4 linked regions of the Lepisosteus oculatus genome follow. The protein of the gene in region 2 purifies or fractionates together with the protein of the main gene of each other region. This does not show direct contact. Links are inferred from orthologs where the notes say so. Each region holds a gene or a part of one and is shown on either strand. Other genes may lie near its edges.

The links.
Region 1: the proteins of dis3l (region 2) and exosc7 purify together in Homo sapiens (affinity purification with mass spectrometry; 3 studies listed by BioGRID and IntAct, counting the BioPlex papers as one, with this or other methods). This does not show direct contact. The link is inferred for Lepisosteus oculatus from reciprocal best matches to the Homo sapiens genes DIS3L and EXOSC7.
Region 3: the proteins of dis3l (region 2) and exosc1 purify together in Homo sapiens (affinity purification with mass spectrometry; 4 studies listed by BioGRID and IntAct, counting the BioPlex papers as one, with this or other methods). This does not show direct contact. The link is inferred for Lepisosteus oculatus from reciprocal best matches to the Homo sapiens genes DIS3L and EXOSC1.
Region 4: the proteins of dis3l (region 2) and exosc8 purify together in Homo sapiens (affinity purification with mass spectrometry; 4 studies listed by BioGRID and IntAct, counting the BioPlex papers as one, with this or other methods). This does not show direct contact. The link is inferred for Lepisosteus oculatus from reciprocal best matches to the Homo sapiens genes DIS3L and EXOSC8.

The regions. Positions count from the first base shown.
Region 1 is NC_090705.1:41,383,087-41,390,374, forward strand, and holds the start of exosc7 (exosome complex component RRP42), read left to right. Parts: upstream 1-4,267; 5' UTR 4,268-4,364; coding exon 4,365-4,421; intron 4,422-4,694; coding exon 4,695-4,796; intron 4,797-5,203; coding exon 5,204-5,298; intron 5,299-6,958; coding exon 6,959-7,124; intron 7,125-7,288. UniProt on the Homo sapiens protein: Non-catalytic component of the RNA exosome complex which has 3'->5' exoribonuclease activity and participates in a multitude of cellular RNA processing and degradation events.
Region 2 is NC_090700.1:47,684,779-47,691,972, forward strand, and holds the start of dis3l (DIS3-like exonuclease 1), read left to right. Parts: upstream 1-4,182; 5' UTR 4,183-4,374; coding exon 4,375-4,504; intron 4,505-5,737; coding exon 5,738-5,894; intron 5,895-7,194. UniProt on the Homo sapiens protein: Catalytic component of the RNA exosome complex which has 3'->5' exoribonuclease activity and participates in a multitude of cellular RNA processing and degradation events.
Region 3 is NC_090699.1:16,729,475-16,736,775, reverse strand, and holds the start of exosc1 (exosome complex component CSL4), read right to left. Parts: upstream 3,023-7,301; 5' UTR 2,971-3,022; coding exon 2,943-2,970; intron 2,169-2,942; coding exon 2,053-2,168; intron 1,850-2,052; coding exon 1,775-1,849; intron 1,439-1,774; coding exon 1,350-1,438; intron 430-1,349; coding exon 396-429; intron 298-395; coding exon 247-297; intron 1-246. Other genes in the region: phosphoglycerate mutase 1, read right to left, coding at 6,143-6,312, 6,554-6,734. UniProt on the Homo sapiens protein: Non-catalytic component of the RNA exosome complex which has 3'->5' exoribonuclease activity and participates in a multitude of cellular RNA processing and degradation events.
Region 4 is NC_090700.1:15,731,520-15,738,982, forward strand, and holds the start of exosc8 (exosome complex component RRP43), read left to right. Parts: upstream 1-4,442; 5' UTR 4,443-4,491; coding exon 4,492-4,508; intron 4,509-5,025; coding exon 5,026-5,062; intron 5,063-5,494; coding exon 5,495-5,558; intron 5,559-5,815; coding exon 5,816-5,889; intron 5,890-6,400; coding exon 6,401-6,446; intron 6,447-6,564; coding exon 6,565-6,670; intron 6,671-7,105; coding exon 7,106-7,151; intron 7,152-7,305; coding exon 7,306-7,402; intron 7,403-7,463. Other genes in the region: alg5 (dolichyl-phosphate beta-glucosyltransferase), read right to left, coding at 1-47, 485-531, 1,468-1,639, 3,826-3,891. UniProt on the Homo sapiens protein: Non-catalytic component of the RNA exosome complex which has 3'->5' exoribonuclease activity and participates in a multitude of cellular RNA processing and degradation events.

The sequences.
Region 1 (7,288 bases), on a different chromosome or scaffold from region 2:
AATGTCTTTGCATTGGAGCACACATGCGAAAGAGCACTCCACTGCCCTTGTGCATACGACAGAATAACCTGGACTGAACTGTCACACTCGTCTCCCAGGAAGGCCACTCAGCTGTCATATCGTTGCACCAGGATGAGCCCACAGGAAGGACTGCAAGTGGCATCCCAGAACATGAGCAGTGAAGCAGCATGCAGTCAGGCTGTTAAAAAAATCACCACCAATGGCATCACACCGGGACCAGCAATCAAGTGCATCATTCTGCCTGTGCGCACCATGCTCGCCAATATACATCAGGGTGGGCAACGCAAACCGCGATTTATTGTGAAAGAGGCTGGTCTGTTCCTGCAACACCTTTGCCTTTGCGTCACTTGGGATTTCTTCATAACAACGGACGTTCACAAGGTTAAATCAGCTCGTCGCCTGTGCCCAATCAGCCCTCTCACTAATGAGGCGACTTCATGCTTATGAAAGCGTCAAAGTCACTTGAGTGAACCAGGGTCAGTCATTAATGACCAATTCATCAAAAATAAAACCGATATGCAAAACGAACATTCTTTCTCATTCTAGTAACATATAGAAATTGAACTATTGAACTTTGTTATGATATTCTATATCTCCCTCTTTAAAAAGCAGCCAGATTGTAAAGGTACTGTAGGTGCCTTTCTGTGAACCTACAAGGGACATATTTGTGTACTGTACACACAAAGGGAAGGGTATATGACTAAGAACTAGACTACGATAGTAGGTAAACACTAAGAACTAGAAATGCCAGACTACAATGTCACTTTCACCAAAGGGACAAATGTAATAGACAGAAAGGTAAATTATTTCTCAGGCCACAGTCACAAAAGAAGAAACACTATTATACGTACAACAATGGTACTGCAACAAAAAAAAACGACAACAAAATAAGATCACATTCTAATTCAAAACCAAATAAAAAACTAATGCATTCATCAGATGGGTTGGAATTCTTTCTTACCAACAGAAGAGGCAGATTCTTTTCAATAATTGATGATTTTAAACAATAATTTAAAATAAGCTCAATAATTCAAAGGGGGAAAAACTTAAAATGAAGATGACAGAGCAACCAGCAACATTAAAAAATACAGCCAACAGATGCAGTGTCAGAGCAGAATTTCTTAAATCAGGCTGAAACTATATCTTGATCGTCAAAAGAATTGTAACGTGAAACATGAATTCCTACGATCAACCTCGTCACAAAGAAGGGGGAGAGAGTGCGGTACTGACCACCACATTGTAAAAAACGTGATTAATAAGTAATATTACTAAGTTGCTATAGTAGAACTGCGGACGTTTCAAAGCCAGCAGCAGAACTCTCAAATGCTCCTCATAAAAGTAACTCAGTTCCTTAAATGTCAGAATCCCGGCTAATGCCAAACAATCATTACGAATAATAAGAGTTATACATCATCTAGAAATGATTAATTAGCAGACAGCAGTCTGTGCGAGGCTGGCTTCTTCAGGCTTTGAGAGACTCCAAGCACTATTCCCTTTGGCTAATGAACCAAGTTACCAAGTACTTCACACACACAAAAGCTTTTTTTCCCTGCAAGACCACAGGCCTTGTGCGACTATCAATGTCACTGTCCCGGAAACACGGCTCTTCTACAATTACAGTGAAGATTAATAATGCAAATAATCCAACAGCATTATAGGCAACTTTTCAAATTAAACAAAATCTATAAATTCACAATGTGCAATTGTGCAAATGTTTCCCTGTATTCAATAATGTACTTTGAAATTTACTATACATAATGCTGACCACATGGACACATTGCTATACATACAAAATTCTCAAAACCACTGCAGAGCGTTTTCTCTGGCATGCATTAAGTGTGCCGTGTGCAGGAAAATGTAGCGTTGGGGAACAAACCTTAAACTGTGCAGCACAATTTTGTAACGATGGGCAAAAGAAACGCAACACAGCTCTAAAACTGATCTAGTCACAAACCACAGAAAATGTGATGGGATCAAAGAAATGCAAAAGGTTTTTCAGACTAAAAGGTGAGAAAATGCCACAAAGTCAAAATGAAAATATTGCAAAGGAAGCAGTGGGAACAACTGTCCTGAGCAAATGATGCACGGACCTGATCAGCCTCTGCACAGTCCGCTGTGGGATGATCCGACACACCTCTGCAGCTGCTTCCAGCAGCTGGAAGTCAGCTGGTCACACCTGGCCGGAGCAACACTCAACACGAAGCTCACCATGTGGGCACCCCTCCATCGGGTTTGTCAAGAGTGAAACCGCCAGGTGAGTAAGACACTCTTAACACCCCCTCGGCTGCCACCTCGCGTGTTCTTTGGCACCTTCGGGAGACGATGCCTGAACAGCCTTCACACTCGCGGATCTTTTTCGTGCACGTGTGGAGCTACAACATCTGCCGATATGCTTGCAACGTCCTCCAGGATTTCCTCCAGTGACGGAGCCCCCCCAACCTGAAGACAGTCCCGCAATGGGACGCCACAGTCCCGGCCAGCGTGGTGCCCCCCTGCCTCTCGGGCTGTAGGCTGTCCCTCACAGAGCCAGTTTCCTGGTTTCTCTCAACTAGTGAGCTGCCAGCCCCATTCTCCTGCGGATCAGCTCTTCCTACAGCCTTCAATCATGCAGACGGCAACCAGAGGATCTTCACTTCTCCAGCAGGGCAGGGTCATATATCTCACTGTTCTTGCGTTAATTAAATCACGTTTATACAGGTTGCCAGCTCATCTTGATTCTTTTAACTCTTCACAAATACTAAACAGCAGGCCTTTTACTAAATCAAACGACTTGATAGTATTTCGCCCTCTCAACGAATACTACTCAATCAACAAATCATCTCAACTCTTAATTAAGATGTGAATAATATAGTGCACAAGCCCAGTGCGCTACCGTTATGAAAGTGGTACATTTTCATTGCACCCCTATACTTATTTGTAAAAAATCTATACTTTTAAAACACCAAGTGGAGGGTAAATCTTGTTATCCTGTAAGTTCGTGGGACTACTACTGAATGCATCGTGAATATTATTCACAAACAAATTACAGTAAGAAAATAGCACTCAAGTTTAAAAACTAGTTAGCATTGTGGACGTTTAGCATTGTGGAAGACGTTAGCAACATCAGCCTATATCACAGCAATGTGAAGACTCCCAGCACAAGATAAACACATTAAAATGACGTCTGCTGTAGTGGCATTCCATAAGGGTTCTGGGGGTAAACACACTGTACGATATCTCTGTTACACTTTCTACATTACTTGTAACATGGATCTGCTATGGTGATACACACTCCATCGCACCACAGATGGTGGCCAACCTGACACGACAAAAAGCTGCCGACTGACGAACTGGAAAGACCGCCAGCCATATCGCCGCAGTCACTCCTCTTCAAACTGGGAGGAATGCGCGAGTGGGGTGGACGCGACGATGTCTCCCCGAGACTGCCAACCTTTACGCTTCGAGATGAAACCGACGTCAAACCCGTCCACCTTCGCGGCATGGGCTCGACTTCCAAAGGCTATTTTGCGGTATCTCAGACAACGCTAGCGCTATTTTATAATGGGAGGAAACGCAGACTGGCCAAAGGTGGCATGTTTTTTTTTTTTTTTTTTTTAAACGAGCCGTCGTTTCAGCTACAGGAATCCAAACCACCGCCACTGTGCAAGATTTCGAGTTTAAGCCGAACAACTGGTCTGCACTCACCTTTCAAAGGACGAAGGGGGGTTGCACGTTTAAGGCACAGGCGGCCAGATGTTGTTTCCTTGTCAGAAACACCCGCGATGGAAAACCTAATGTCAGCTTCATACACTCGCTGCCTCCCGCTGCCAGCGCACCTTGGCGAACCGCGATGCGCGCCTCCCTTCTGAACCAAAGGCGCTGTGCGTGTGTCTTATCACGCAACTAACTGCCGGTTTGCCCGACCTACTCCTCCTTAACCCATAGATTAAGGTGGCTGCAGTTCCGCATCACCATGCCCCTGCTCGACGGTGCAGTCGGTAGGGTCCCTGTACTATCTGGAGAGCTCTGGCCAAGCCAATGCAAGCGAAAGTAACCAACCAGGAAGTGCGCCGTGTGCGTGAAGAGGCGACGCTTCCTGCGCCCCGAACTCCAGCTAAACAACACCCTTCCTTCCCGTTTTTTCAGTCACACCAGTGCGAAATCTTCCGAGGCGTCCTTCTTGGTATATTACCCCCCGGAGGCTGTTGAAAGGCAAAGGGCTGCCAGCATATGCAACAGTTTTTCCAAGTCCGCAAAAATCCTCACAGCATTGCGCAATCGGACCGACCTGGCGCGCCCCCCCCCGGCGTGTCGCAGTTTGATGAGGTAGCGGCTGTCCCGGCCACACGTGGTGCGGAGAAAACATGGCTACTGTGCAGATCAGCGAAGCAGAGAAGGTCTACATCGTGCATGGTGTTCGGGTGAGTTACCTTATAAAATTATACGAAATTGTGTTTTGCTGGGAGGGGGGTGGGTGTTCAATTTTGGTGTGTGAGTTTGTTAAGCGGGAGAAACGGAGCTTTAAATGCAAACCAACTTCTCTCTCGCCGTGAGAGTAACCTGTTTTCAGTGCTTATGTAGAAACCCAGTTGGTAATAAGCAGTCGGTAGCCGATTAACAACTTCACGCTGAAAGCGATTTTAGAAACCTGTTTGGAAAATAACGTGCACGATTTATTTTTGTATTTTTTTTAGGATGACCTGCGAGTGGATGGGCGGGGCTGTGAAGATTACAGACACATGGAGATTGAAACTGATGTAGTGTCCAACACCGACGGGTCCGCCAGAGTTAAACTGGTAAATAACACATCCGGTCTGCCTTCGTTCTAGAGGCAACGATGCAGCTGTGCGTCTCACTGTCTTCCCTGCGCTCAGACAAATGAGCTAAGTGACAAGGGGGTGTGTGTGTTCATGATAAAAATATGGAGGTTTCCATGTTTTTCATTGCTGCTTATGGGTAAATTGTTGATGAAGATATAACACTTCATTTAGAACACCACTGCGGAGATCTGAGTTATCCAGACAGAGTGACAAAAGAGAGTATTGTGCTCAGCCACATTCTCTACATCACATGTTGCTTCAGACTTCATTTAGCAGTGTATAAGCCTGTTTGCAGTGTGAGTTGAAATAGGATCCCAAGCTTTCTCAAGGGAATAAACCTTTACTTGCTCCTTCGCGGTGTGATGTTTATTTGGTTTCTCCAGGGGTACTCGGATATCCTTGTGGGAATCAAAGCAGAGATTGGCAGACCGAGGCCCATGGTGCCAGATGAAGGGTTTCTGGAGTTTTTTGTTGACTGGTAAGTTGTTTTTTATTCCAAACAGCAGTTTTCAGCACAGTACCACTGCTCTCACTGGGTCCTGTATGTTGCACAGATTGACAGTGCAAATTTAAAAAGTAAAAATAATTCACAATGTCTTGTGACAGTAGTAATATGAATTCTACACTGTACTTACAGTTACGACAGTTGAATATTAAAAAGTTCTAGAGTATTAACTCTTCAAAAGTGTATGATAAGTAGAAGGATGAATCTGAGTGTACCATAACTGAAAATACGTAGTTCTGCTTCAATTTTAAGAGCATACAGAGAGTCTTGCACAAGTATCCTGAAGGATTCCACATTTTATATCCGAGCTGGTAAACCTGACGCTTTCAAATTTGACTTTTTATTTTGAATCAACACAGACTATTCCTAAGTGATAAAGCGAAAAAAGAAATGCTGATAGTGTTACCAAAGTTATCTTTTCAATGAAAATGTCAAAATTCTCTGTTGCATTCAATACTCAAATTCTCTGCTGCACAGCTCAGGTGCAAATGATGAGTTTGAAATTTTGCTAAATTATTCTGATGTTTTTTTTCTGTGTGTAATCCAAGTAGTTTAACTTTACTTCAGAGAACATTTGTCTCTGTAAGCTTCCTCAGTTAGATATGGAATTTCGAGCCACAACACAGTTTTACTAGTGCAGTTGAGAAAAGCCAGCCGGTAGCAGTTGTCTCCTGTGGTGGTCTATAAGACTGAAAACCCCTTTTCTGAAGCGTCAGCTGTTAGGCCTTAGTGCTGACACAAAGGCGTACCAGGATGTGTTTATTTTGATTTTGGATCAAAACAGTTGTCATTTAAGAACCACTCCACTGAATACACTTCGTATACACAACCAGTAGGTGGAGGTAAAGGATTAAAAATGGATTTTTTTTGCCTTTGCTGAAAGTCTTTGAAACAGAATTTTGGTTTTTAATGTCAACAGACATGTTTTCTCTCACTCTGAGGACCGGTAATCAATGGTTTTCAGATTAACTCTGAATTTCTTTAGGCAGAGGGTGAAGTGACAAATATTTAATCACAACAATACATTTTCTAATGTTGGGAGTGTATTCTGAGTTCAGTTCCAACACTGATGATAAAGCTGATTATTCCTGGTGAGGCTGACCCAGAGGACTTCCGTGTTGCTTAGATAGAATCAGGATTATATCCTGGACAGCGAGCTAGTCTCGAGAGAGAGGCGCGCGCTCACTCCTGCACACATACACATAGAACCCAGAGACACCTTGTCGCCTTGTCTGTGGGCATCCAGAGGAAAGTGGAGCACCTGGGCACAATCAATGTGAACACCTGCAAAGCTTGCAGAACCAAATAGAAGCTGCCCCAGGCCAGGATCAACCCTAGAGTCCTAGAGCTGTCAGTCCTCACTGCTGTGCTGCCCAGCACAGAGAAATCCGTCTCTTCAAACCTCTGCTCCACATCTTGTCTTGCACGCTGGGAAAGGACAAGAGGGGAAAGCAAAGTAGAGTCACTTTGAGAACATAGAAGGTTAACGATGCTATAGTAGCAGATAGTGGTTGTTGCAATATTGGTAAGTCCATTTTGTACGCAACTGTTTTGTCTTTTCCTGAAATCTCCAGGATTTAAGGGCTGGTTCGAGCTACAAATCTTCACGTGTTTTTGAAAACTTGCTCCTCAGCTCGGCAAACGCAACCCCAGAGTTTGAAGGGCGAGGGGGAGAAGACCTCGGCACCGAGATCAGTAACACGCTGTACAAGGTGTTCAACAACCGCCACAGCGTTGACCTGCGGGCGCTCTGTATCAGCCCCAAGGAGCACTGCTGGATTCTGTATGTGGATGTGCTGGTGAGTACGTCCGCTCCAGAGCCTCGGAAATTCAGTGCGTAGCATTGCACCTCTTTATAAGAGGTTTAAAGATACACTGCCTTTATTTTTCGTCTCTCAAGGAGAGGGAGTTATAGTTGGTAATTTCTTTCCCTGATTTAAATATTCGTCTTTGCAGGGTATTC
Region 2 (7,194 bases):
CAGGCTCCATGTCGTGACATGGGGGTGGGTGCGTTTTGTCAGGATATGTCATATCGCGATATCGCGATATATATAGACTTTTTAATTTTTTTATTTTTTTAATTATTTATGCTTAACAAAAGAACAAACATTACAATACAAACAAGAGTACATATAACAATTCCAAACAAAAATATCGTCAGGGGTACATACTACTACATTAATTCAAGTTATGAAAAAAGATTAAACAAATTAAATAAAAATAATGTCCGCACCGCTTTCATTTTTTTGCATTTTGATATAGTCTGCAAACACCCCTTTACTTCCATTTTAAAATGCTCAAACACAGGGTACCTCCCAGACCACTTCATTTTATGTATGTGATAATGTGCCAATATAATAATTAAATTTATTACAAAAGAAATTTTTATATTGTTTTCACTGGGGCTGAAACTTAACATAATATCTTTTTCAACAAAACAAATATCAATATTCGTCTCTTTTTTAATATAATTCTGCAACTTAGTCCAGAACATTTTTACCCTGGAACATAACCAAAACAAATGCTGAATAGTTTCAGGGCTATTGTCACAAAAAACACATTTGTCATCTATATTAATTTTAAATCGTTGGGTAACAAGAGTTTTAACTGGGTAAATTCGATTAATTATTTTGTATGAAACCTCCTTAATTTTATTGGTTATACAATATTTTTTGGGCATCATCCAAATTTTTCTTCAATCAATGCGCTTTCCAAATGCGGAATTCCAATACATTGTAGTGGCAAGTAAATTATCATTTTTTAACAGGGATCTCAAAAATTGGTTATTACATCCACTACTCACAATATCCTTTCCTTGTAGTTTAATATGAGCTGTACATTCTTCCAATGTTTCTAAAGGACTACTATTACAACTCCTTAAAAGAGTTAATATTTCCCCAGAAATCGCATTAATTACAGCAAAATACTGATCCAAAGTAATAGAAATATTGTATCTATTAACAAACTCGGTGTAACTATATATTTTACCATCAGTCTTGATTAATTGTTTAATCCAAATTATATCATTCTTGACCCAGTTTAAAAAAAAAGGTTTTATTTCTAATTATTATATATTTGTTGTTCCAGATAGTAAATCTATGTGGGGAAAAGTTATGTTTATACATAAGTGACCACGTCAGAAGTACTTGTTAATGAAAACTGGCAAGTGTCAAGGGGATTTTTCCAATGTCAAAGTTACACTTTAGTAAAAACTCTAGAGCCCCTACTTCTTGAAATATCAGATTGGGGATTATATGCCATACACTATATATAGACTTTATGTCGTGACAGTGGCGCCATGACAGTGATGCGCCAGTCGCAATGGTTATCGCGATGTGATCGTGATGCGCGCACTCTTATCGTGACATGCTATCGGAGTCGTGAACGCGCTGTGGATGCCATGACATTCTTTGTCTGCTATTCAGTTGATAGAAATTGGAAACCAATGCATATGTTACTGTATATCCAGCATGCTCATACAGCACACACGGTTAACCGGGGCTACAGTATTTGGACCAAGAAGAACATCCATCACCTCTGTATCTACATTTTCTCAGAACTTCCGCTGTGGCGCTTTACCCAATCAGAGTGTCGATTCTCACTCTTCAACCAATCGCGACCCGAAGTGTCTCGGGGGTTTAGTCAATCACGGGTCTGAGAGCTGTTCAAGCTGGCAGCACCAGGTGGATCGGCGTGTTTAATAATAATAATAATAATAATAATAATAATAATAATAATAATAATAATAATTGCTTACACGTATATAGCGCTTTTCTGGACACGCCACTCAAAGCGCTTTACAGGTAATGGGGACTCCCCTCCACCACCACCAATGTGCAGCCCCACCTGGATGATGTGACGGCAGCCATAGTGCGACAGAACGCTCACCACACACCAGCTATCAGTGGGGAGGAGAGCAGAGTGATGAAGCCAGTTCAGAGATGGGGATTATTAGGAGGCCATGATTGGTAAGGACCAATGGGAAATTTGGCCAGGACGCCGGGGTTACACCCCTACTCTTTTCGAGAAATACCCTGGGATTTTTAACGACCACAGAGAGTCAGGACCTCGGTTTTACGTCTTATCCGAAGGACGGCGCCTGTTTACAGTATAGTGTCCCCGTCACTATACTGGGGCATTAGGACCCACATGGACCGCAGGGTGGGCGCCCCCTGCTGGCCCCACTAATACCTCTATGTATACTGTCAATGAGGATATATTTTTAAAATGCTTTACAAATTTGCAAAATAACTACATCGGCTTATTTTTTAAATATTTTTTTTTGTTGATTCACAATGTACCGTACTCTTCGAAATAAAGACATTTTTTATTTGCAATATAACTGTCTCCACTGCTTTCTGTAATTCATACATGGTAATTGAACAATTTGAATCGTATATTTTAGGGGAAACACCTTCTGCTTTGTAAGTCTATGATAATTATATTATTATGCTCGTGCTTTCAATTTTGTTTTTTATTGTTAAATTATATCGATCTGAAACGAATACCTAAAATGTGAATATGGGCTCTTGTGTTGTACCAGCGGTAATTTGGAAACTGGTGTCTCCTCACCAATGAAAGGAGTACACAAGCAATACATTTTCGAGAACATGGTTAAAAATTGAAAGAAAACACCTAACCCAATGAACTAACGTAGTAACTCCTCCCTAAATGTAAGTCTGTTTATTCGTGTAAAGGCTGCAAAGTCTGGGGTCAACTGATCAAAAGATTTGGTGGTTGTGGCTTTGCTGTTTTGTACGTCACCGAGTGACGTCACGGCCAGGAAAAGAAGGCGCTATATTGAAATAAATTGAAACATCCACCCCACCCGACCAGACAGACTCGGAAAACAAATTGCCCCCATTGTTTTCATCACAATCAGGACTTCAAGTACCGAGTTTGTTGGTACCTGTAAACTTCCTTGTAGATATTCACGTGATTACCCGAAAAACCAAGGCGCTATATCTCGGAAACAAAAGCAGCACGAACGCTACCTACAGCGACACAAACCGGCACAGACGCAGCAGTAACGATTGCGATGAGTTTCGTCGTTTGTGCTGTTCGACGGGCGGGTGGGCAACTTCACGGAGCAGGACAAGCAAACTTGTCTGGGTCATTACATTGCAGACTGCAGAAGACTCGACTTCACCTGAGGATCTAACACAGGCACCCATACCTGTGTCATCAGAGGGCAGGTGTGCCTCTCGCTGTATTCCACACCAAGGACTGGCTAGAAACACAAAGATAAAAGGACTGTGAGCTCATAGCTTGTGTTTGCACATAAGACCCCTGTAAATACTAACACACGGATAATGACAAAGTAAACCCTGCATTGTATTTTAAATACAAAATTTCACACGGATTTTGAATCTTGCGTTTTGCGTGTGTTCATTGTATTTTGTAATAAAATATTAACTTCAGAGTAACTCGTAAAACTACCGAAATCTAAAATTAGGCATTCGAAATACTTAGAACTGTTACAAGCAACAAGTGAAAATGAGCTCTTGCAGCTTTTCTTTAGCTAAAGACAAGGTGCTCATATGAGAGACCTTTGCAAACTAGCTGACATTTAAACGGGAATTTGCCGACTCTCTAGACAGTGACGAGATTATCGCCATATTCAATTCCCAGCCCCGACGCCTACGTCTGGTCTAGAAGGCCAAAACCTCACAACAGAGGTAGGCACTGCTTGTTTTTATGTGTATCCGCCGTGGCACAATGGCGTTCGGCAGCCTAGGTAATTGTTGCTTAACTTGTGTGTGTCTGTGAGAGAGAGAGACCGACAACACTGTCGGTCTCTCTCTCTCTCACAACACAACAACTCTTGGCAACACTGATTGTACCCATCGGCCATGCTAATAAAGCACCTTGAATTCAATTGAATTGAATTGACCGTATGTATATAAACATAAGGTTCCGCTAATTCTGCTGTTTGATTATAGCGCTCGAGGATTGCATTGTAAATTGGAGGGGTGGCCCTATGCTGGGAGTCAGTTAGAGCCCGGAGCACCCACTACGCCCCTGCCTGAGACGTTTAACACTCGTCCCTTCCCCGCTCTTTCCTTCAACTTGGGCAGAGACGCTTTCTCATTTTCCATGTTCCCCAACAAGCCACTCTCTATTCATCTGTGATTTCCTGTGACGCAAGAGGTCTCGCTGCACAACACACGAACAGTCCTTCCAGGTCACGCAAAGGCTGTTGTAGCGCTATTTGAAGTAGCGTGAAGCTAGCGATGAGTGTGTGGGTATGTCGTGCAGCGTCTCTCAATGGACTTGTTGTTTACAAATAAATTACTTGGAAAACAAGCTGTAGTGGCGACATCACGATATTCTGTCTATTCCCGGAATACGAGATGCTGAAGACAGAGAAGATCCTTCACCTCAAGAGCTCCCGCGGTCGAAAGGTCCGTGTCGTGCGGGAACATTATTTGAGAGAATATGTACCTTGCTACAGCTCTCTGTGCCAGGCGGACTGCAACAACGGTAACGTTATTGTTTCTCGATTTGTAAATGAAACGAAGACAAAACTGGACACAAAACACCCTTTCCAGCATATCGTTTCCGAAAAGCTGTCTCTCCTGTAAATATGTAGATCTGCCGTTTGCGTACTGAGAAAAACACGAAGCAAGCTTGTGATCAGTCTCTCTGTATTCCCTCTTTTCCCTCGTCCAGGAAACTGTAAAACAATCTTAACGCGTTATGTGAAAGTAAAATGAAAAATAGCAGTCTGTGCAGGTACAGAAATCCCCTGGCTTACTCTCCGCAGCGCGCTGGCCGGCGAACCCGCTGTGTGCAGGCTCGGAGGCAGCTCATTTCTTCTTTAAAAAACAGCCACTTGTTGCTGCTCGTCTCGTTGTAAAAACGCAGTGTGTTTAACGTGATCTCTGTTGCCTTGCCTTTATGTAGCACGCGATTAGATTCATATTACATTTGAAAGGATAAATCAGTTAGCTATTGAAAATAAAAAGAGATAAACACACCCGTAAGAACACCATAGAGGCTACAAACGAGAGGAGGCGTTGTGGCCCATCCGAGCAGTTCGGTGCTTACTAGCTGATCTGAGGATCTTGGTGGGATAGCTTGTTCCGCACTCCCACCACACTGTGGGCGAAGAAGTGCCTCGGTCCCCAGTTGTAAATGAACATCCGCCTGATTTCCACCTGTTTTCTATGGGTCTTGTTTTCACCATGTGTTCTGAAGATGAATGAAGGCCCAGTGCCTGCCTGCCTGCCTTCCTCTCAGTTATAAACCGTTAGATCAGATAGATTCTTTATTGATCCTATAAGGGAAATTGCAGTGCAACAGCAGCTGAGCGCAGTCAACACAGCAACTGTGTAAGGAAATAATACAATAATACAGCAACACAACACAGTCAGTGAGAAGTGCACTCAAAAAAGTTGCACACAGTACAGAATGTACAAAAAACAGAACAGTACACAAAAACTTTTATTGCACATTATAAATATAAAAATACATTGCACAAAAAACAGAAAAAAAACAGACGTTTGGTCCAAAAACGGCGTAGTGGTCCACATATAGTCCTGTGGCAGGCTCTTAAAGCTGTAGAGAGCCGTGTAGTGGAAGCAGCAGTGATGACCAGCAGCCATGATGATGATGATGATGATGATGATGATGACGACCAGCAGCCCCAGAGGCAGTGCCAGCGGCGGGGGGGGACAGCGCGGGTGCTGACCGGCCCTGGTGTCTGTCTGCCAGCAGGAGGGAAGGTGCTGCCCGGGGATGTGACCCACTACGTGGTGCCAGATGTGGGAGTGGTGCAGGACTTCCTGGAGGTGCTGGAGTTCGCGGAGCTGCGGGGGATCGTGTTCATGCAGACGGCCTGCCAGTCCGTGCAGCAGCACCGCGGGCGCAGGTACAGCTGGGGGTCAGAGCGCAGGGTCAGTCCCCTGGAGCAGCTGGGGTGAAGGGCCTTGCTCAGGGGCCCGATGGAGTAGGATTCCTCTACCGGCCGCGGGAAAAGGAGAACTCATGCCGTGAGCAGGATTCGAACCCCAGCTTCCAGAATGCGAGTCAGGCACTGAAGCCATTATGCCAACGAGCTGCTCGCCATAGGTATAAGGTATAAGCTGGAGCAGGGAGTTCACCATGCTTCGGCTGCAAAAAGGAACAAGTAAAGGTTTATTCCGTGCCTTCTTCAGGTGTGTGACGGGCCTGAAGAAGGCTCCACAGCCGAAACACTGTGTTTCTTTTCTTCTCTTTTCAGCATGGGATAAACCTTTACTTGTTCCTTGGCACTCTCCTGTGTAGTTGCCCAGGGCGTTCTGCAGGGAAATATGTCATTCATAATTTGTGCATATATCACTTTTCATCTCAGAGGATCCCACAGCGTTTTCACTTGCAGGAGGGACACACCTGGGTTGGTGTAGCAGTTCTCATGTGCTCACGGCCCCACTGCTCAGCAGATCAGCTGAAAGAATAGTGCGCAGTTACTCTACCTACTGGACTGAGTGGGAGATTTGACAGTAGGCAGGTCAGAGTGTGCAAGCCTAGAGTGGAATTTAGCCAGGGCATGGGGGGTTAACAATCCTATTCTTACCATTGATTTCCCGGGCCCTTTAATGCTGATATATTTGTTAGGAACTTGGTTTAACATTACTTTGCTTTTACGAAGGTTAGTACCTCTATTAGCGCGATGTCTGTTGTCACATTATTGGTTTGGATGTCTGTTGTCACATTATTACAGCAGCATATCACCCTGCAACTCACAACTGGCAGCCCGCTGAAGCTCAGCAGTGTGAGCCTGGTCAGTACCTGGATGAGAGACCTGCTGGGAAACGTTAAAAGTTGCTGCTGGAAGAGGTGTTAGTGGGGCCAGCAGGGGGCGCTCACCCTGCAGTCTGTGTGGGTCCTAATGCCCCAGTATAGTGATGGGGACACTATACTGTAAAATGGCACTGTCCTTCAAATGAGACGTAAAACTGAGGTCCTGACTCTCTGTGGTCATTAAAAATCCCAGGGCGTTTCTCGAAAAGAGTAGGGGTATTATCCCAGCGTCCTGGACAAATTTTCCATTGGCCTTTATCAGTCATGACCTCCTATTAATCCCCATCTCTGAACTTGCTTCATCACTCTGCTCTCCTCCCCACTGATAGCTGATGTGTGGTGAGAGTACTGGTGCACTATGGCTGCTGTCGCATCATCCAGGTGGGGCT
Region 3 (7,301 bases), on a different chromosome or scaffold from region 2:
GCACAAGACATTATTCAGAACATTTTGTACAGACATACAGGTCAGACTTATTACTACTCAAGCTTTACATCTCCATTGAGCCCTTTATTCACAATACCGCTAAAAGCTGCACTGCATGCAGCGTGCGCTGACTGCCGATGAACCCATCGGCAAACGCGCAGCTCTTGTTAATGTTTTTTAGAAGCATCAGAAAGGTGTCGAGCAACAGAGGGCTGTTGTCTGCCCTTCAGCATCTACAAAGGATACAACTTTGGCTAGAACGATATCTCCTGGTCGGAAACTCTTGTAGATCTCCACCTGATAAAGAGTAAATTTACAGGTCATGGGATTGGGAAACCGGAAATAAAGGCACTTATTGGATATCAATGCACTGCAAGTCAATTTGAAAATAATACCTTGTCCTTTTCTGTAGCTCTCACATCTTCCTTTCTACAAAAAAAAGTATTAGAAATTTAGATTCTGTACCAAAAATACCTAAATGCATCACACTCACAGAAACATGAGACGCCAGCGTCTTTCAACTTTCCATCAGTTCAGTATTGCTTAGAAATATTTTAATTCAGGGTCACATGGGAATTTGCCTTATACTGTGCCAAAAAATAAGCAGCACTACTCTGTCGTACATGACAGCGGCATTTTACCACCTTTGTGATGACAGGGACCAGCTTTCTTCCTCAACCTGGGCTTTAGCCTTAATGTCCTGGCTATTTTCATCTGTTTTCATATAGTTACATTTATGTCTGTAAACTTATAACTACAAAGCTCACATGTATAGAACGTTTATTTATTTGTTGTAGTTGTTTAAATCGTTAGCCCAAGACTTTGTGCATTGTGTTAACATGATGCAAACAGGCAAGAAGAATTGGCAAGACTTGAATGAAAAAACACATGGACCGATGGAAATTATTCAGTAGAGTCTCCAAGCACCAAAAATAAATGCAAATTGTTTTTAGACTAACAGTTCAAATACAGCAGTTGACAATGAAACAACAGTGTTTTCTAAGGACAAAAAATGCATAATAAATATTCAGAAATTATGGTCATACACACAAAACCTGTCCGTGTGATGTGGATTTTTCACATTTCACTCACTAATAGAACAGAATATAAGTTCACTATGAATGGAAAATTCAATTGTGAAATTACATACAAAAACTCAATTTGTCCATAAAAATTATTAACTCTCACATAGCATTGCAAGGAGACAGCCATGGACGGGTCAGTGAGAAAAATGTATCACAAGAACAACACATATGTTATGCATTATTAGGGTATTTACAAAGTAAATAAAAGTATATGCTAAAATATAATTTGAGACATGTTACTTGAAATGTCATTGCTCTAGTTACCTGATTGTTCCTCTGAATCTGTCCTTCAGTGGGGTGGATCCAACATAGAGGATCTGGACCTTAGCAAATCGTGGGTTGATGCTTGTAACCTGTTGGCAAAAGACCTTCACTCCCCTGGAACTATAATGTTGACCAAGCCTCTTTCATAACACTAACTCCACAATCACCAGGACAAAAATGACATTCTGTTTCACTGGCACTTCACATCTATAATAGGAATTTTCGGCTATTATCTACAACTTAAGATATTATTAGTCTAGGGTGGCAAAAAAAACAATAATACCAAAATACAAATGACCAAAAAAACAGTGAGGTAGGCTTATGTTAGTATTGCTATGCCTGTGCAGCACAGAGCAAACCGAGGGATGTTAGGACAGAGAACTTCATACTTCTGTGTAAAACACCCTGGAGGACAGAGCTCCTACCTTGCATGTGACTGTAGCGCCAACATCAGGCAGCAGCTGAGCCTCACTCTCCTTCACCACCGAGACCACAGGCATCTGCAGAACACAACAGCCAAGACAAATCTCCCATTGCTAGAACAGTACTCTTGCACCATCACAAATGCACAATCCAGTTTCAATGACCATTTACAGATCTTTCTGGTATATTTTAAACCATTTTCCTCTGCACACGCAACACTTCCTTCCACACTTAGGAGATGCACTTGGAGGAAGTACAATTCTTCCACACTCTCACCCACCTCCTCTCCCGCGTTCTTCCTCAGCACATAACCAGCGAGGGAGGCAAAGATGTAGCCATGACGCAAGTACGTTCCAGGCCCCGGGACACACTCCTCTGTGCTGCACAGCCTCTCTCCTGCGGGACGACAATATTTACAGGCAACCACTGCTCAAAGTCCAGCCCCAGAGCAACAGAACAATCAAACAATGCTGTTTATACTGTCAGCATCACTTGAAAATAACAACTTTCAAGTGCCAACTTTAATAAGGACGGGGTCAGAAGACGTGGCTTAATGGTTTAAATGTCTACTTTATAAATGGCGTTAAGCTTCAAAAATAGTCTCTACGACGTACCTAAGACACGAATTTCGTCAGGATGATGTAACTGTCGGTAAAGCGAGGTTAACTTTACAAACTATACTAGGTTTAAGTGTTTGGCTCCTGATGGATTGCTTTGATACTGCTACTGTTTCTAATGTTATACCTCACCATACACCGAGTCCTTTCAATACGACTTTTAATTTATCATTCAATTGCAAAGTTGTTCTGCAAGACAGGTATACCCATACTCAGTTTCTGGCATCACTTTATGAATACAGCTACCGAAAACAGCAACGAAATGTGCTATAACCTCTGTTGCCCCGAGAGACCTACCCTTACTGACAAAAAAGTGTTATATTAAACAATGTGGCTCAGTCAGGGGATCATTTTCAAACTTTTAAGAATTACTATGATTTTTACTTTAAAAACTCACACAACATTTGGTGAATGAACTAAGAATCAATACAAGACAAGAAAGTGAAACCCTGCAGTCAAAATGTATCCATGTGTGTATTAACTGCTGTCAGGTCCAGACGATTCAGTCATTAAATACATTTTATTTCACATAACGTTTTTAAACCCCACGTACCTGGCACACACAGCGTCTTAGGAGACATGTTTTCAGAATAGAATAAGAAATGCTCTGATTGGCCCACACGGCAGAAGCAACGAGTCATCTGATTGGCCAAAGCTAAGAACGGCTGTTCTAGATTAAGCTTTTTTAGTGGTTCAGTGTTACTGACTTCCGGTCGAGTAAGAGACCTGTGACCTGATTGCGAGTCTATGATGTGCTTTTAATTTTACCATGGCTACATTTTGTTGTATTGCAAGTTATGTTAATCTGAATACACCAGTTAACAGAAAACATGGAGTAAAATCCCACCTGTAATTGTACAGTTCGAGTACGTAGCTGCTTCAGAATGCGTAGGCTGCAAAGGGGCAAGTAAACGTATATTCCACGCGGAAACATTACGGTTCGGCTGTGGAGCCTTCTTCAGGTGTGATATTGTTAAAGCCACACCTGAAGACTACACGGCCGAAACGTTGCGTCTCTTTTCTTTTCCTTTCAACATGGAATAAACCTCTACCTGTGCCTAAATGTACAGTTGTTTTAAAAGCGGAGATCGTGACGAGCAGAAGAGTATCACCTTTAAAGATCTATCTATGCAGGCTTTATGAATGTTTTTACCTTAAAGGAAAGTTCTGCTCTGACAGGCTTAAATCACTTTCATGTGTCATTTTTCAAAAACGTTCTGGAAGCACAAATGCATTTTATGTAGTCTACATTTTGAGAGCAGTAGTCACGGATACCTCCATGTAATCGAGCAGTCCCGTCACGGTCGTCCACTTGTCTGTTCACTATCTTCTGTCTAAAATTATTTTCAGGATTGCATTTTTCTTTATGTGCTCCTCTACTCTAGTTAAACTTACACTACTTTAGACGTGGCTGAGAAGCTGACCTGTCTATAATTCCTTAATTCAATTTTGTCCCCGTTTTGGTATGAATGGTAATTACATTTGTGATTTTCCAAACAGGCAGGGTACCCTGTACTCCAAGTGTTATTCGAAATACTTTTTCAGAAAAGCGGGTCTGGTCCACATGTAGTTTGAACGTCAGACACCTCCTTAATTTATCGCCGGATTAAATCGTTTACAACCAAGATGGTAATTTCACCTAAAGCAAATGTTTAATTCCCCCATTTGTGAACACCTGTATAACCGTTTACTTCTTCCACTCCGCTCTTCTGGATAATAGATGTGCATCCCAATTACCCTTTGTTTCTTTACAGCTAAACTTTGCAAAGGATAGAATACAGTTCAATCCATCCAATCCATTTTTTAAATATTTTCCTATTTTAGTATTTTACATATGTCCTGTGCATTACCTAACCGTGTACGAGCTCCATGGATCTCAGACCCCATCTTCATCAGTCCTCTCAGGAAACACACCAGAGCATAACTAATTTTACTTTCATAGGTTTCATGGTAAATACTGTAATGCCAGCGTTTTTGAGGACGCGTTTAAAACACAGGATGAATTATGTCCAGCAGAGGGCACTCTGACCACACTTCTCCCTGTTGAAAAGCACCTTACAGGAGCACTCAAGACCTTAGCAGAGAATATCTCCAACAATTATTTTAATTCTTCCAACAAATAGGTTTCTCTGGCAAGTATGGAATGATACTATTAGTGATGTGGTATTTATGAAGACTACAGATCAGATTTCAATGTATGTTTAAATCTTATTTCAACTAGAAATTTTCACATTTTTATATAGCTTAACAGGAGTATATGGAAGTGCAAAAGAAAAAAATCATAAACATCATTTTATGAGATAAGTGAAAATAAGGGACAAAAGTCAATACAATACTGCACATCATAGGATTTATTTGTTTTACACAAGGGGTTCAGTGTACATCAAAACAGTGCATTGCAATAAACCCTAATCAAACTGAAGCTCTCTGAAGAACCACTGGCAGCAAAGCCACATGAACACTCATGTGAAGAGCAGGGGCAGAGTATCCTGCACACATACAAACTGAGGAACAGGGGCTTTCACCTGCAGAACCGAAGAATGCTGCAGTAACTGGCTGCTTATACTCCTCTCCAAAGCCAAGATTCAAGACAGAACTAACAATCAAAACATCAAGATTTAGACTGGGTCTTCGGTAGAGGAAGACAAACTGGAGAAATGTGTTAGTTCGTGTCCTACCTCAGCAGCCCTTTTATTTGAAGCAGAATCTGTTACTGTGTATGGAAAGGCCTTGTACACAAAGCAGATTCACTGGCTCTCACTGTAGGTGCTATAGGTGACGGATTCACACTCGATGTTACACTGGGTTCAGAGACAGGGGCTCCTTATTTCTCGCTTGTATGCGCTCAAGCTGCAGAGCCCACTCCTCACGGGAAACTGGCAGGAAACCTACACACAAACAGCGTCACAATGGTGAAAACTACAGACATACCAGCATGTGACGGGAGGGAGGGAGGGAGGGAGGCAGAGGTGCCCAGGTGGCAACAGCTCTCAGGAGCTGACAACAGGGATCGTGGAATGAATCGAATGCAAAAGCATTGCTCCTCGTGTGCCGGTCTGTAACCCAAAACCTCAAAATGTGCGACATCGGAATGACTACAGCGCACACAGAAGTTGCTGTGAAAAGTAAACCTGTGAGAATGAATTACAGGGCACATTCCAGCTTTATCCAGCAATAATAAAGCTTTGTGTCCAAATTTTGTTTTCCCTGTTGCATATTTACTTATACAGGAGACAAAATGAAAAGTCTGACTTCCCTTTTAAACTGGGCCAAGGGTTCCCTTTGAAAAGTTGTCAAATTCTTTAATGGCATAAACAAAGCTTCATATGTAAAACGAATTTGTTCATGAACGCTTAAACAAACTGTAAGGATTATCAATGACCTTTTTCGAATGAAGAAGCTAGGAGTCAGATATTGCAGGTCAAGAAACTGTTTGACTGAGCTACTGGTCCCTTGTTTGAGCTTTGGTCTACATTAGTCTTTAACATTCTCCTCATCCTACCCTGTCCATCTTCGCGTATGACAAATTTAACAAGCCCGCTCTTCTTGCTTGTTACCTTGAAGAAACCCTCCAACTGTCCTGTATCAGAAAGAAAGTAAGAGAAGGACAATGCTAAATGACCTGAGCGAGCGCCGGGAATGAAACTTGTGATGTGTGGTGTAGAAGGGAGGTTTGCGTGTGTCCTCCGAGAGCAGTGGCACAGCGCCCCCCTGCCAGGAGCCTCCAGCGTTCGTGCACAGGAGGCTTTCTTTTTACTTCTTGGCCTTGCCCTGGGCAGCCACCGCCTCCATGGCCTTGCGGACAGTCTCCTCGTCGCCCAGGAACTGCATGGGCTTCACGGGCTTCAGGTTCTTGTCCAGCTCGTACAGGATGGGGATGCCCGTGGGGAGGTTCAGCTCCATGATGGCCTCCTCCGACATGCCTGTCGACACAAGAGCAGCCTGAGTAATGGCATCCTGCCACCACCGCCGCGCCGCCGGAACAGCTCGGCCGGCGGCAGGTCGAAAACAAATCCCGAGGCCAGTCAGGCATTACGAGAACATCAGAAATAAAGTACCAGTTTTGGTGCCACAAGATTAATGGGAAAATAGGTTAAATGAAATGTAGCTGCCATAATATTGAAACCCTGCCCTAAAAACAGAGCGTCCTCGGCGGGTACATACCCTCTAGGTGCTTGACGATGCCCCTCAGGCTGTTGCCATGGGCAGCGATCAGGACCCTCTTGCCCTCCTTGATCTGCGGGACTATCTCCTCGTTCCAGAAGGGGAGAGCTCGGGCGATGGTGTCCTTCAGGCTCTCGCAGGAGGGCAGCTGGTCCTCCGTCAGGTCAGCATAGCGACGGTCCTGCCGGAAGCAGGGAAACACAAGGTCTCTCTGGGTGCTCGTATAATGGTACACTGAAGGAGTGATTTACAGCAGGCCCAGGGCTGGACTGAAGAGTCAAGGTTAGAAAAGAAGGTAAACATCAGTACGCACGTTCGTTGCTAAAAAAGCAGAGGACAGGTCCGGTGATGGTATTTTGTGGAGACCCGTGCTTCAGAAGGGCTAGTTTCCAGAAGATATAGTAGACAATGAATTAGAACTCTGGCCTTGGCTGACAGAAACTGCCAAGAAACATTCTGGCTGTGATGCTGAAACTCAAACTTCATTACAATACCGAGCACCGTTTAAGGACTATAAATAGACAGCCTGAAAATAAGAAGAATTCAGATTCAGTGCTCGAACAGAGCACCTGTAATAATAAATCAGAGAATACCGGCAATCTCAGTCTGCCTCTGCTACAGCTAAACTGACTCTGGTGTGTTGTCATGTTTGAAAACAAATGTATCAGCTTCAGTTCAGTTATAAGTCCTTAAGGCTCATTGAATAGTTTTTTTTTTCTTTCACTTCAGTTGTTAAAAAGAAATATTT
Region 4 (7,463 bases), about 32 Mb from region 2:
CCATCATCGACAATTATCACTTCATAAGTAAAGGAACGCTGCCGCTTCTGCAAAAGAAACGTTTGCAGTTGAATTGACAAAGGATGGAGAAGAAAGAAACTGGAATATCAGCGCCACCTAGTGGTTATTTATGTCTAGTGCGCATTCTGTTCTAATGATCTATTTTCTATAACCTAAAGCAGCTGAACCCTCAAGAAGAATCTGTAACTCTAAAAAACTGGGTTATTCCTCCCTGTAGTAGTGAATCAGATTTCGAAGAATATGCTCTCAGGCCAGCTTAACAGCCCATTTTCCTTTATTATATGTTCAGCACAAATGTGTTCTAATATGTGATATAAATATACATGACTCAAAACTTTTTTTAAAACAAAAATAAATCATATTTCACTTTCAACCATTGTTACACAGTATAAGAACATTTGGTGAGTTATAGTCAGAAATTGTCTCAATGATTGAAAATGCATATATACAGTAGACAAGATACCTGTCTGTTTTCCAAATACTCCAAAGCCTCATTCATCATCAAAGGCACTGAAAGGAGAGTGTGACAACACAGTCACTTGTTTTTCAACAGTACGGTTCTGTATAACCGAGAATGCGATAGCTGTGCATCTGACAAACTTTGTAAAAAAAAAACATTTTAAAATTATTTTTTTGTAACAGGTAAGGCAGGTAAAAAGCACTGTGAAACTCCATTTTCTAGCTGTTTCTTGTAATTCAGGGTTGCTGGGGAGCCAGAGCCTATCCCGGCAAGAAACAGGCACAAGGCAGGGTACATCCTGGAATGGATGCCAGTCCCTCGCAGGGCAGACATATACAAACACAGACACTACAAAATTACACCAGAGCCACATTTCCCAGAATTCAATTAACAAACCGGTATGTTTTTGGACTGTGGGAAATAACTGGAGGACATGGCTGAAACCCAAGTGAACATGGAGAGAACCTACAAAACTCCACACAAATAGCACCCCAGGTCTGGAACTGGATCCAGGACCCAATGCTGTGAGGCAGCAAGGTTAACCACTGTGCCAACATGTCACCTGCACTGGTAAAATTATTAATGCAATGCTGTCAAGCTTCTAAATGAATTACATCAAAATTTTTGGCATTGCTTTAAAACAAAGCAGGGTTACTTCATTGCTTCTCAGACTTATTCTGCTGTAAGGAATGTGGAGGGTGAAAATGAAGTTATTTTATATCTCAAACTACAGTGGCTGAGATACAATATATGAAATTTAACAGTGTAAGATGGTTACAGCTCTTTAAAATCTGGCAGACTTAATACTTAATTCTAAATTAAAACAGCTCAGTATCATTTAATTGACTAGAACTGCACCTTTTTCCAAACCATAGATTCAACATGTTTGCATCATTACAAAAGAAAGACAGCAATTAATCTTTAAACCTGGACAAACTACAGACACTGAAGTCTGTGCTGAAGCGTTCTTGAGGAAGAAAACTTACATCTCTGCTCTTCATTGTATGAGGGCACTATCACTGAGAGGTCTTTGGAATGGGGGTCGTGGAGACTTGGAAAAGCTTCTTTTTTCCCTTCATTAGTCAGGAAAGTTTTTTCCTTCTCGTGACGTTTCAGGTCAACAATTTTAGACGCACTAAAATGTGCTACTAATAACACCTGCAGAGGAGGAAGGAACAGTCATTCACCCACTCGTCAACCTTCCCAGTAATGTACAGTAAGAGTTACAAGGGTCATCCCATGACCGTGAAATGCACACAAATGAATACTAACAACACAGGAGAATCCTGTACGTGAAGGGTACATTGTGGGTGGAAACTTATTCTAATAATAATAATAATAAGGGACAAGTAATAGGTTTATTCCGTGCTGAAAAAAAGAAGAAAGAGAACACAACGTTTCGGCAGTGGAGCCTTCTTCAGGTGGCGGTAGAGGAACACACACACACCACACCTGAAGAAGGCTCCACGGCCAAAACGTTGTGTTCTCTTTCTTCTTTTTTTCAGCATGGAATAAACCTATTACTTGTTTCTTTGCAGCCTACGCATTTTGACGCAGCTACCCACCTGAACTACATAATAATAATAATAATAATAATAGTATCACTTTATTAACCCTTTACAATTTCTTGCATTAGGAATTGTCTGTTTGCATACCCCAGCTTGCTCTCCATGAGACACACAGACAGGGAGAGAGCCTGGGGTCAGAGCGCAGGGTCTGCCATTGTAAAGCACCCCTGGAGCAGTTGGGGTTAAGGGCCTTGCTCAGGGGCCCAATGGAGTAGGATTCCTCTGCCGGCTGTGGGATTTGAACCGGCAGCCATCCAGCCACAGGCACAGATCCTTAGCCACAGAGCCACCGCTCCGCCAGATACTACTCACTCAAATTTTCACTTTATTAATTATCTCAAACAACAACTTAAACCAAACACTAGAGAGACTCTAGCGTGGGAAAAGCTATCAATAGTGTCACCAACTCGGTATGCAGTGGAAATAAAGAAAAATCGCTTCCCACTTGTCGTGCGATGTCAATTAAAATAAGTAAATTACAGTTGTAACCTTGGTTTTCCCAAGTAAAGCAAAGCAAAAGTAAAGCAAGATCTCATTTTGAAACTTGCAACTACTGTACTTTGAGGGGGACAAGATGTTCTTATCCCGGCATTATTGAAAATTTGCAACAGCGCTGTTTTGCCTCTAAAAGGCCTTGATCAAGAAAACAAAACAAAGCCCTTGTTTGTTTCAATATTCGAAAAAGTGCTTAATAAATGTGCAACTCATGAAAGTGCACATACCAGTATAATCTGATTGTACATAAAGGGAGGGGTGCCCAACTGAAATGTGAGTTTTGTTATAGCAAGCCCCAAGTAAAAATATTCCATGGCATTTAAATTTAACAACCATTCTACAAAGCAGACTGGAAAGCTTTTGTTTCCCAGCATGTAGCAGAGAGGTGGGCAGTCCTACTCCCAGTGGCTTGGTGTGTCTGCAGGTTCTCTTTCTGATTTCAGCCTAAATCAGCTGAATTTAACAGCTCCTCCCAGATTTTCTTATGTTGGTCCTTCATTGAGATCTAGAAAACTTGCAATTACACAGGTACCCCAGAAATTCCCAATTTAGGGTACAACAATGCCCTGGTACTTGGGATCCCTGAAGAAAATACTGGTGATCAGGAGATTATAAAAAGCGTACTGTGCAATGACATTAGAGCACCTATATTAACATTTAGCCTGTAAAGAACACATTTATCTCACTGCTTTGCATCCAGAGTTACATGAAGTTAAAAAAAACCCATTTACATTAGCGCTAAAACCATGTTAAGTATAAAGCTGCTTGCTCATAGTTTGCAATTGTCCCTGGCACCTCTGTGAGACCAGGAACTGTTGAATGAATGAATCACAAGCAGGTAATTGTGTCACGGATGGCGTTTTATTTTCAGATCCAAGAGTAACACAAATAAGTCCAAATATTCCAAATACGTTAAGGGGAAAGAATACAGAATTAGCCTAAATGTTTTAACAGTTTTAATATTATTCCTTGGAGAAAGATGTGGACAACAATACTTAGACACAACCATTTTAAAACCAATAAAATGTAGTTACTGGTACTGTATAGTTCTTGTAAGTTAAATGCCACTAATGTGCAAGGAGATCAGAAACAGTGGACTGGTTTCAAATTTACTCAAGAATAGTGTGTCTTCGAGGTAACACATCAGCATACAAGTGCTGTAAATAAAAATATAATTTACCGTAAACGTAAATCGCGATAATTCATACGCATTTGTACTGCCCATGATAACATCGACTTAAAATGATATACATGTACATATCAATATCCATGCATACTTACCAAAATTAAACAAATCAGGGCTACAGCAGCAAAAGCTAGAACGATTTCACATAAACAGCAATCCATTTTCCATTCCAGGGCCTACAGAAAGACATGAACCGTATTCCCCCAAAACTAAAAATGCTAGTACATCGAACCAATCAACTATTTTTTTCCCGCAATACCATTTTTTTTACACGTAGCTACAACTGCCCTCACTGACATACACTGACGCGGAAGTGTTTCCCACTTCCCAAGTGTTAAGCACACATCATCATAATCCAAGAGGGCATCGAATACACATGGGTAAGGTAAATACGACTGCGGCCTCTACCGGTTTGGAGCTGGCTCTCATGCTAATACATTTTAAAATTCAAAACGTAAATATCGATCTGTCTCGAACATACTAACATTATACAATTATGAGTACTATAAATTGCAAAACATCAAGATGCGTCCCCCCCCCCCCACATATCACATTTACCTCATTCATCACGCGAATGATATTTTCCTCTTTTCACGTTACGTGCAGCTAATTAAAAAAGGCTTCGTTTTTTTAACCCGTATAAAGTAAAATAAAGCAAAAATATAGAAATTCAAAGTACATAAAACGCGAATCTGTTGCGAGCTAATCTTTGGTATATTCACCCCGCCCACCCGTTTCACGTGGTGCACCACGGAAGCAGCATGGCGGCAGGTTACAAGTAGGTGAATTTAAATTCCCCCATCGTATGAAAAGTTAATTTCAACCACTCAGTGGAGATGAGGAATACCATTGGATTGTTTTCAGGCACCGAACATCGTGATTTCTGATAAGATCGCTGTATTTCCACTGCTGAAACCGGGACTGTAGATAATTTACGTTTGGAACGTTATACGCATATATCGTATTAATTCATAACTAATCCGCGTTGTGAAATTATTTAACCAATTGATAAGTACAGGGAGTCGCTCCATTCGTGTCTTTAACAGGAGTTTTCCATTTATGAACCATTCATTTAATGTGGTCATTCGTAGTGTTCCAAATTCAAATGAACAGCCTGTCTATAATGTAGCATTACTGTATGTTGCTTTAATGCAAGATCGAGCCGCACACGTATGGTACATCGTTTTTACTTTCCCGGCAGATTATTTTTGCGTTGTGAAGTCTTGACAGAAGGGAAAATGTAAGAGAAAATGAGATTTGCTTCTCTTTAAAATGTAACTTCTTTCCTCTTTCAGAACTGCAGACCCTCTGGAGTACCACAGAAGCTTTTTGGTATGTTTTGGTTGTCTAACTGTATTTCGTAGTCTCAACACACAATTTACTACGTGTAGATGTAAGTTACTGTCAGGAGTAAATTGCTTCCTGTATAGGTTCATTCATACCATGACAGTAATGCCAATTTTTTAAAGCCATTATTGAAATACAGAAGTAATGATCAACGCGAATGACAATACATTGTGTACTGGTGAGACCGGAGATCTTCCGGTAAATTAATGCATTCATTTTTAAATGGTCTTAAAAGGGTTCCATGTTTTGAAGGATCACTTTGATAATTAAACATTAGCTTGAGAGACTTGCACTGGAAGTGTAATGATTGCTCACAACTGAGTTAAGCGTCAGGGTTAAGATGAAGAGTTGTCAAATGAAACAGTTTTTCTAGAAGTTCTGCGAATTTAAGTGATTTGGATTGTTCGACCCCATTAGAAAGAGAACTGCAGGCCTGACGGACGAGAGCTTGGTGAATTCCGAACCACCACATTGAACATCGGTGAGCATTCACAGTTCTTGATATACTGTAAGGCTCTGTGCCATTGAAGTTAAACGGCAAATAGTATACAGTCTCTTTGCTTTAAATTAGCATCTCTATTCAGTAACTTCTCAAACACACCAAGGTGTAAAAAAGATTTGAATCCTCTACTCATGCTGATGAGGCATTGTACCAGAATGGTCACTGACTTTAGTTTCATTACTGCTCTAAAGAAGTTGTTTTGTAGATGACTAATGTATCTTAATGCGCTTCGTTAGGTTCTGTTTCAACGGCTGATGGCTCTGCCTTAGTGAAGATAGGGAATACCACCATCATCTGTGGTATTAAAGCGGTAAGGCCAGCCACACTTCTATTACTGTACACCTGTGAGAACAATAACACAGCTGTCCATTAGTGTCCACCAAAATCTCTGTTGTTGCATGTTAGTGTTAAATACAAGTAGAGTGTTATTCTATAATATTCTTAGAGGTACACTGGTTTCCACTATTTTAAACAATGTTCATCAAGCTGACTATTCACTGATTAAAGATCCCTTGACACTTTTTGAAAAAGTATGGGGATTAACCCCAGGTGCACTGTCTAAATTCCCCTCTGGATTTGGCCTTTTTAATAGTTCCTGTTAATGTGATGGGTGAAGTGGTTAATCACTTTTCCCCTTGATCTGCTGTATTGTCAGGCCGCTGGTGCATACTGACTGCCAAGTCACCCAGGCAAGTATTTTAGTAAAGGGAATATTAATTATAGACTATTTCTCTTGGTGTGACAGAGGGATTGGAAAAGGAGAATTTGTAAGTAGGATCCATTTCACCCTGATTTTTGTCCCCACCCCTTTTCTGTTGCAGGAACTTACAGCTCCACCAGTAGATGCACCAAATAAAGGTTACATAGGTAGGGCATATATCAAGAAAATAATTTCTTATGGTGTATGGACATAGAATAACCTTCCTTCTGCAGGTGATGTGGCACAAGTAAATCTTACAGCACGCTTGTTTCGTGTTTGTTTCAGTTCCCAATGTCGATCTGCCGCCCCTCTGTTCCTCTCGGTTTCGCCCTGGTCCTCCAGGAGAACAAGCCCAGGCAGCCAGTCAGTTTATCGCAGATGTCATTGAAAGGTATTCAGCCCCAGAGCAGCATTTATACCAAAGTTACCCCGTCCTTGTTCGGCATAGCAGCAGTCCAGTAGGTTTTCTGGATCACTTTTGAATGAAGAATGTATAATGCCATGGGAAAATGTCCCACTTACCCAGACCACTTGGTTAAATGTGAGTAATTTAGACCCTTAAGAATAAAGAAAACTGAAAGTCAGTCCACAGTTTTATATTTGCTTTAAGTAATCAGAAATAGTTAATTAAGGCTGATCTTTGCCTCTGTAGGATTAGGATGGACCACACCTGATCTATAGAAATCAGCTTGAAGACACAGTCTCTTAAGACTTTTCCAGTTGTCTTGCACTGTTGAACTACTCAAAACTAAACTATTCTCCGTTTCTCAAGTTCTGTTGTCTGATCACACTTTATCTATATAAACATATTTTGGTTTCTTTATAGTTCACAGGTAATACGACGAGAAGACATTTGTATTGAGAAAGGAAAGGTGGGTTTTCTCTTGATCTCCAGCTATTAACAATGTTTTAAAAGTAATTACTTAAGACTTCTTCACACTTTTTTAAACCTCAGCTTATATTTATTATAATTTGCAGTGTATATATTTTTTTCTGTAATGTAATTTGCAGCTTTCTGTATTTTAGCTCTGCTGGGTCCTGTACTGTGACATTATGTGTCTTGACTACGATGGCAATATTCTGGATGCCTGTATTATAGCCCTGATAGCAGCTCTTAAAAATGGTATGTATAACAGTTATTTTAATGAAAAACTTAAGCAGTTTAAATAAGCAGTTATTTAAAA